Nothobranchius furzeri: one gene and its partner. The protein of the gene in region 1 purifies or fractionates together with the protein of each later gene. This does not show direct contact. Links are inferred from orthologs where the notes say so. Each region holds a gene or a part of one and is shown on either strand. Other genes may lie near its edges. The genes, in order: pomp and psmb4.

Region 1 (3,989 bases):
CACCATACGTTTGAGACTAATGTATTTTGAAATGATTTTTTTTGTGCTTGCTTGAAGTGTCACCCCCAAATCAACTTTTTTTTCTGATAAACTATATAAATGCGTGTCTAATCGTACTGCAGACACGTGTAGTCAATAATTTAAAACTTTAGGGCATTTTAGTTAAATTTTCAATTATCTGCCTCAAACTGTCACTGTTGTGCACCTGTCCTGTTGGAGGCGTGTGAGTCTTTATTTGTTGCTTGTTACTACTGTAAACAACACCCTCAATCTCGTTCTTGCACCTTAAATTACTCTATTATTCAGTTGATCGGTTATATTACACAACTCTAGTAAATCATTGCTTTGTTGTGGGGTGACACACTTGATCGCCAGTAACAAAGGTGGAAAACAAGCTAACTTTTCACCGTTTTCCTGCTTAGAGGCAAAACCACGGAGACCAAATATCTAACATAAAGTCTCGTTGGCTTGCTTGGATCGCAGCAACAAGGCGACCAAACATCACCTTCTGGAGTATTTTCATTCTGGAAAGTTACAAATAGTGTATGATTTTATACATCGTTTCTTTCTTTCAACCGCGACATGCACATGAAACACACACACAGAGGCTACACTCACATACCGGTGAGCTAATGCAGGTGCTCTCACACACAACACAACTTCTCTTTTTATACTTCTTCTGTTAGATTATAAATTTGATTGTTTTACTAGAAACACCAGCAAATAAAACGTTTACCTCTCATTCGGACGTCTACATCTGCTCACACCGCAAACAAGTAAGCCGAAAATGTCCGTTATGCAGAACTGCAGCGGCAACAATATGTCATTGGTGCTCCAGTCTTGGGTCTTTCATGTGGATCAAAACCATTTATAATGCTCATTTTGACCACATACCAGTCCCCAACGTCTTTTTTAACCTATCTCTGTGTATTCCGCATCCTTTTTTGGGGGGGGGGGGAGGAATGATGTTTTTAACACTTTCTTTCACCCAAATTAGCTTTTTCTCTGCACCAGTGCCGTTTGTTTCATGGTGTGTTTACACTTGTCAGCCTTCCAACATGGCACATCCCAGCATGCTATGCATAATCACGTGTGACCACAAGCCCTATACTAGGGGGTGACTTGCTCTTTAAGTATATTGTTGTGGGTTAAAAACAAAGCAGCAAAGTGTCTCAAAATTGCTAACCTTTTAAAGATTTATTACTTAAAAAGATTTACAAACACTACATGTGTGTTTCACACATTTGTCCTTTACCAGAATGTTTCATCTGTCTTGTAATTTCCATTTTGTATTTTGTAATTTGTATTTTGTAATTTGAATTTCTTTTATTGTTGATTTATCCAATATATTTACATACAACTGTACAATGTTCAGCGCTTTGGGCTTCCTGACAGGGTTGCAGAAGGCGCTTTATAAATAAAGCTTTGATTGATTGATTGATTGAAACACTAATTTCTTTCATTTATCTGTCCACAAACCATCATTTTTTAAAGAAGTGCAAAGATAAACATGTCACATTTTTTGCGCTTCCTACAATAGGGGATGCAAATTTCGGCAGCTAAGCTCTTTTCGGCACAACACCTTTGCACCTCACTCGTATGATGTCTGTGGCCTGTGCTCTACACCGGATGTCACGTGTTCTAAACACTACAGGAAACGGAAATTTAGGTGGGTCAAAAAGAAAGCGCAAGGAACAAAATCACAATGGTAAGCTAGCATTATTTAACACCAAATTTAAAACTATCCTTTACAGATTTCTAACTGCTGACTTCATCTATTTAACTATAAATAAGTGTACTTAACCCCTCCATGTTGTAGATTATATTCAATATGCGCTTTGAAACGCACCCATTTTGAATTTGATTAGTCACCGGAGCTAATGCTAGTTAGCCTTTTGGGTTATTAGTGCTGGTGTCTAGCTGATGTTAGCGTCGCTGTTTGTGTTAGCTCAGTATGAGCTGATTTAAACGTCATGATGCGATTTTGTGTGCTACAGAATAGCCGAGGACTCCACTCCCAGCTGAAGGACAGTGTCCCTGTCGCTGGACTTTGTCCACAGGGTGCTTACGGAATGCAGGACTCTCTACGCAGCGGGTAAGAAACTACCGCTTTCATATAAACCTAATATTCTACTAGTGTACAGTTATTTAATGACAATCAAGTCGGTGTTATTTTGATAATGAAATAAATCTTTCATTTTTTGTCTAACAGCTTCACGAGCGTAAAGAATGAGCTTCTTCCCAGCCACCCGCTGGAGCTGTCAGAGAAAAATGTAAGTAGTGTTTTACAGCTGTTTTCTGATATGAAGGGACATCACCGTGGTTTTTCATTGTCCAAAGGTCAATCAGGATGAGACTGAACACAGCTAAAATATCAGCATGTGTGTGTCATCTGTGTAATGTTACAATAGACTGATTCCTCAGTGAATAATCGTTTGTTAATTTTTTAACTTTATCTATTATGGAGTTTCTACAGGCTGCTAACTAATCTTTGTGTTTTATACTTTGTAGTTCCAGCTTAACCAGGATAAGATGAATTACTCCACACTCAGGAACATCCAAGGTCTTCATGCTCCACTCAAACTGCAGATGGAGTACCGAGCAGCACGACAGGTAGCTTCGCCTCCTATCACCTCTCCCACATATGCATGCTTCAGTTTTTAAGGCTTTGGTTTTTTTATCCTTCCAGATCCAGCGTCTGCCTTTCTTACCGAGTTCCAACTTGGCTCTCGACACGCTCCGAGGAAGCGATGAATCCATCGGCTTTGAGGACATCCTCAGCGGTGAGAGCCTCATCCTCTTTGTAGACTTTGTTTTCTGACCTCCTTACGGTCAGGTTTAAATAAATATTTAGTTATATACTCTTTTATCACACTACTGCATTCTAATAGTCTTTATGATATCGTCAGCTGAAGTCTGAGTCTCAGATCTGTGTGTGAACATGTGTGCAGACACATTAGCATGAAGCCTAACTAATCATGATGGCTGTGTGTTTGCAGATCCAGCCCAAAGTGAAGTGATGGGAGAGCCACACATGATGGTGGAGTACAAACTAGGATTGTTGTGAGAGCTCCTGTAAATAAAAACCTACACAAAATATTTACTTTGTCTTCTTCAGCATATATTTGATATTTCATTCCAAAACCAAAGTTAGAACCTCAGCTTTTGGAAAATTGTTATTAGAAATCTGTTTTTCTAGCAGGGCCTGGTGTGAGTCAGTGTGTCGGTGTAAAACACACAGAAGCAGGAGTGGTACACCACTTAAGGTTGTTTTTGTGTGATGGATTTTGATTATTTCTAATAAATTTCATGACCTTCCTTGTGGTGTGACTTCATTTCTGTAGTTCTTCATCTGCTTAGCTTGACCTTACACTCCGTTGTCTGAATCTAATACAGCCAGTCAAATAGTAAAAAAAAACCCGCTGGAATTTAAAAAAAAATATATTTTTCTGTGTAAACATGGTTTGTAACACATTTAGATCAACATGACCATAACTTCTTGTATTTAGAGAAATGTATTAATGTTTCAGAGCACAACATGAAGCAGGGTCATCAGTAGGTTGGTTGTGTGGCCACTAGAAGGCACTTAAAGACCGTTCATGGTTCAGAAACAACTCAGAAGTAGAGCCGCTGTGGGTTCTGCAGCACTGTTCTGTGCTCGGGTTAAAAATCAAATTACAACTAAGAAAGATTCTGCTGAACCTTATGTATCCTGCAGTGCAACATTCAAAGTGGCCACGAGGTTATCAGCCTGGAGTGGGTGTCTGAAAAACAATTTGGTCTGCAGGTAAATATTTACATAATAGGATGACTTGCAAGTCTTGTTTTCTGTATGATTCCAGTATTTTGATGGTCAAAATCATGTGATTATGCCTGTTTCCTGTTCATATAGGTGAAGGAGGGAGCTGCCCTCTTGAGGGTCCTATGCCGAACTTTCTGACAGATGCCGCACACGTGACGTGCTACATTTGCTGACATCACTACATGTC
Region 2 (4,533 bases), on another chromosome or scaffold:
AATGACCGAACAGCTGAAATCTGAAAGTGGTGAGAAACGACTCCACAGAGAAGAGTTTAGCCTGAGGAGTAGAAGGGAACAGACTTACAGCTCAGCCCGTCCACTGCCAGGTGAGGAGAGACAGGTGAGGTGGGTGAGACGGATTCTGAACAAACCAAGGAACTTGCTCCACACCTGAGGACTGATGATTTTACAAGTGGACTCTGACTGCCTACATACACACCCCCCACCGCCGGTCTTTCACCTCTTTGTGTGTATGTCTGTACTTCAACTAGAAGGACAATGAAGGTGTGGTGTGTTGCAGCAATAAGGGATCCGCCTGGTTGCTGTGGCAACTCTGACTGTGCAAGCAGGCGTGCCTGGGTTGAAACTGCAGCGTGCGTGTTGCTACCTGCTGAGTGCAGCCCACATGTGTGTGTTTGTGTATGCTGTTGGTGGATTGTACAGCTGACCTGAGCTGCTGTTTGACAGATGCTCTTGTTTTGAAGGTCTGGATTATTGGATAAATTTACACTTTCAATTTCTTACAGCAATATTACAAAATGTATGGCACACATTAAAGAACTTAATAATCCTGTGAAATGTATATCGGTGATAGAGCCTACGGTTTCAGAAAAGGTAGATTCCAAATATGAAACTAATTTATTGTAATGCTCTGGCTGCCAGGTCACCCCCTCTGAGCATGCTTTTGTCCCCAAATCTTACTGAAACATGCACAGAAATGTTTAAATATTATTGGCTCACATTAATTAATTAATTAAATTAATTAATTAATTAATTAATTAATTAATTAATTAATTAATTAATTAATTAATTAATTAATTAATAATAATAATAATAATAATAATAATAATAATAATAATAATTTAGGTTATTATTTTTTAATAAATTACAACTAGGGGAGTCCCAAAGTGAATAAAAGATAAAAGGATACATATTTTTTTCATCATTACTTTTTCTTAGTGTGGACATTAAAGTGTTAATAAAAACAAGCTTCATATGTAGACTATGGTCAGCAAAGAGGACAGCTATTCAAAAAATGTTTACTGGTATGTTTACAGTATGTTTACTGGTATCTGCACAAATGTACATACCAGTAAACAGCAACAGTAATGTTAGAATGTTGTTCAGAGGCATGAAAAAGAGTTTTACGCTAATTTGTTTCCAAAGTTGCTACAGCAACTTTCCTTTTTTAACATATCACATAATTTTAAACTAATGACCCCAAAATTCACATTTTACAATGTTCTCTTTGTTTAAAAGTCAATAATATGCAATTATTGGAAACGGGCATTTTGTTTATTTCTTGACGTAAAAAAAAGAAAATCTCTGTTATTTTTCCTAAATTTTATGTTGGTGTAAATATTAAATTATTTCACAATTAGACATTTGACTGTTTTAGAAAACATGACACTTACAAAAATACAAAAGTCGGGTAGAAATTTTAAAATGGAAGAAATAAATTCACCTTCTAATGCTGACTTAACCATCCTTTAAAGTTTCAGTTGTAATAATTTATTGAAAAGTTATAACAATCTTTGTTTCATCTGTCAAATTAGTTTGTATAAATAAAGTTCTCTTAAAAAAACGTCTCTGTGTCGTCACTTCCTCCACATTCAACATGGAGTCGTACGGAACGAAGCTGAGTTTTTGGGAAAACGGACCAAAGCCCGGACAATTTTACTCTTTTCCCGGTAGCAGTACATCATGTGGTCCGGTTAGACACACGCTGTGAGTAAACGGCATTTTTATAAACTGAATCGGTGTGAAAGTTAACAAATCTAAACGGCGGAATCGGTTTCGGTTTGAACTCCGCTGCTGTGCTGCATCATCATGGCTGCTAACCGATGCTAAATTCACCGTCAATTTGCATCAGTTTTACTGTTCTGTAAAGTATTAGACTCATATTTTGTCTTTACCTAGAGAATATTGTATATATTTTTATTTGCTAGAAAACGTTTTTTTCGGTTTCGGGTTTTGTTTTTCCTTCACTCTTAATGTGTTAGCTTAGTTAGCCGAGCCAGAACTTTGTTTTTGTTTCTAGTCATAAAAAGATCCTGTTCTTTTAGTAAGTAAAACGAATTTAGGTAGTGGTTTGAATTGTGCTGACTGAAGAAAGAAGTTGACAAGCATAATAGTATTAAAAATTGGGCCTTTAACTTGTTTAATCAAGAGTATTTTCAAATTTAATCATGCTTTTTGTTGCGAATCCTTTGAAATCAGTTAAAGTTTGTCAACTTTGAACATAATCTGGAAACGCGATAACAAACGTAACATTTATTAAGTTATTTTTTGAATTTCAGAGAAAAGATTTAAACTAAAATGTATGTGAACTAATCTGGGAGGAATTTCAGCAAAGCCTTAAATTGATTTTATTCTGACATATATTTCTCTTTTCTACAGTAACCCGATGGTGACCGGGACATCGGTGCTTGGTGTGAAGTTCAAAGGTGGCGTAGTCATCGCTGCTGACATGCTGGGCTCATATGGCTCTCTGGCTCGATTCAGGAACATTTCTCGTTTAATGAAGGTGATGACCGCTACTGACAAAGGACTCACTGATGAGTGAAAGTCTCTTAAATCTGCATTTTTGCTGCAGGTGAACGACAACACCATCCTGGGGGCATCAGGTGACTACGCTGACTACCAGTACCTGAAACAAGTCATCGAACAGATGGTGTAAGCTGCTGCTGATCAGAAAAACATTCTGCAGCTTGTGTAAAATGCACTTTCTTAAAGCTTTGTTCTGTTAGGATTGATGAAGAGCTGCTCGGTGATGGCCACAGCTACAGTCCAAAGGCCATCCACTCCTGGCTGACCAGGGTGATGTACAACCGTCGTAGCAAGATGAATCCACTGTGGAACACGGTTGTCATTGGAGGTTTCTACAATGGGGAGAGGTGAGGTGTCCCAAATTATCTAGACACAACATTTAGGATACATCAGATTCATTCTCTTAGCTGTTTTTGGAGATGTAATTAACTGTTTGAATATTTCTTATGTAGTTTCTTGGGCTATGTGGACAAGCTTGGTGTAGCCTATGAGGCTCCCACAGTAGCCACAGGCTTTGGAGCATACCTGGCTCAGGTGAGTTCCTGTTTAGAAAGTCAACAAGTAAATTAAGTGATATTAATTACAGCTTAATTGGAACATGGAAACAAAAAGCTTTTGCCACGTTTGTAAGCTAATAAGTTACAGAGAGGAAGATTCATAAGAGTTCAGAGTGAAAACCCAAATCATATTGTACCATAACAGCTTCAACTTCTACGTTTTACTCTAAGACTTCATATTTGCTTCATCTGTTGTTTAAGAATAGATCTGCTCTGATTTATATACTTTCATATGTTTTAGTATCACAATTGTCATGTCTTACTCTGCTTTAAGAGTGCAGCCTACAGACTGTGTGCGTTTGTGTTTACAGCCACTGATGAGGGAAGTGGTGGAGAACAAGGCGGAGATTACCAAACAGGAGGCCCGGGACCTGGTGGAGCGCTGCCTCAAGGTGCTGTACTACAGAGACGCTCGCTCCTACAACAGGGTGAGTTCACTTTCCATCCCAGACTAATTCCAGATCTAAGATCACTCTTGTGTGCTTGAAATTGCTCATTTTATCTTGCGCTGGCTATCTTTTCCTAATACTCAGCCTCAGTAGTTTCCTATCTAAGGAACCCAGCAAATTGTAACTTAATAGATTGAGAGAACTCTTAGAGACAAGTGTTATAGTGTTTGATGTATTATATGATGTCTGAATTTTAGCATGAGATTGCCATAGTAACAGAGGAGGGCGTGGAGATCATTGGTCCTCTATCATCAGAAACCAACTGGGACATCGCTCATCTGATCAGGTAGGGGGTCAAGATTTATTTTTTGTAAAAATGAAATCTCTGACACAAAATGTTGCCGTTTGTTTTTGTCAGGATCATGTGAAGGATGCTGAAATGTATAAATTTTTTTGTTTTGTGTATTTTTTTTTCCTGCAGTGGGTTTGACTGAAAACAAACAGCAACTAGTTCCCTGCAACATCAAAACAGCTTCTCACTTTCAACTTATCTATCCCAGTTTAGTTTTTTCTGTTTATGGACATTTTTCTAATGGAAAATAAAATGTGTTGATTAAAAATGTGTAGGTTTCCTGGTTTAATCCGTTTCATGTAAAGCTGATCATTTTCTGTAAATGCTTTCTATCTTTTCTACCCACTGGGTGTCTCTGAAAGGCAAAACGTCACCAAACCACACTAAAATCACCAGCAATAACCAAATGTATACTCATCAGTGTTGTCCAGTGATCAAATTGGAAATGGCATCCTAAATGAGGCAGGTATAAGTATGGTAATTTAAAGACCTGGAAAAAATGCACCCGTGACCATTTGTAGATGCAGAACATACGACACCATAAGAAAAGAGCACCAGAAGGAATGCGAGAAGGAAACAACAAAGACTCACAAGAACAACAACAAAAAAAGCAGAGGAGCAAACCCTCAAGTCAGCCATCTTAGATCACTGCAAACAAAATTATCACATCATGGACTGGGAT

What was found.
Region 2: the proteins of pomp (region 1) and psmb4 purify together in Homo sapiens (affinity purification with mass spectrometry; 3 studies listed by BioGRID and IntAct, counting the BioPlex papers as one, with this or other methods). This does not show direct contact. The link is inferred for Nothobranchius furzeri from reciprocal best matches to the Homo sapiens genes POMP and PSMB4.

Annotation. Positions count from the first base shown.
Region 1 is NC_091747.1:41,727,715-41,731,703, reverse strand, and holds pomp (proteasome maturation protein), read left to right. Parts: upstream 1-1,592; 5' UTR 1,593-1,705; coding exon 1,706-1,708; intron 1,709-1,997; coding exon 1,998-2,095; intron 2,096-2,212; coding exon 2,213-2,273; intron 2,274-2,511; coding exon 2,512-2,613; intron 2,614-2,689; coding exon 2,690-2,783; intron 2,784-2,999; coding exon 3,000-3,067; 3' UTR 3,068-3,318; downstream 3,319-3,989. UniProt on the Homo sapiens protein: Molecular chaperone essential for the assembly of standard proteasomes and immunoproteasomes. Degraded after completion of proteasome maturation. Mediates the association of 20S preproteasome with the endoplasmic reticulum.
Region 2 is NC_091759.1:9,808,190-9,812,722, forward strand, and holds psmb4 (proteasome subunit beta type-4), read left to right. Parts: upstream 1-1,573; 5' UTR 1,574-1,621; coding exon 1,622-1,731; intron 1,732-2,403; coding exon 2,404-2,530; intron 2,531-2,599; coding exon 2,600-2,679; intron 2,680-2,753; coding exon 2,754-2,900; intron 2,901-3,005; coding exon 3,006-3,087; intron 3,088-3,421; coding exon 3,422-3,538; intron 3,539-3,756; coding exon 3,757-3,845; intron 3,846-3,980; coding exon 3,981-3,993; 3' UTR 3,994-4,121; downstream 4,122-4,533. UniProt on the Homo sapiens protein: Non-catalytic component of the 20S core proteasome complex involved in the proteolytic degradation of most intracellular proteins. This complex plays numerous essential roles within the cell by associating with different regulatory particles.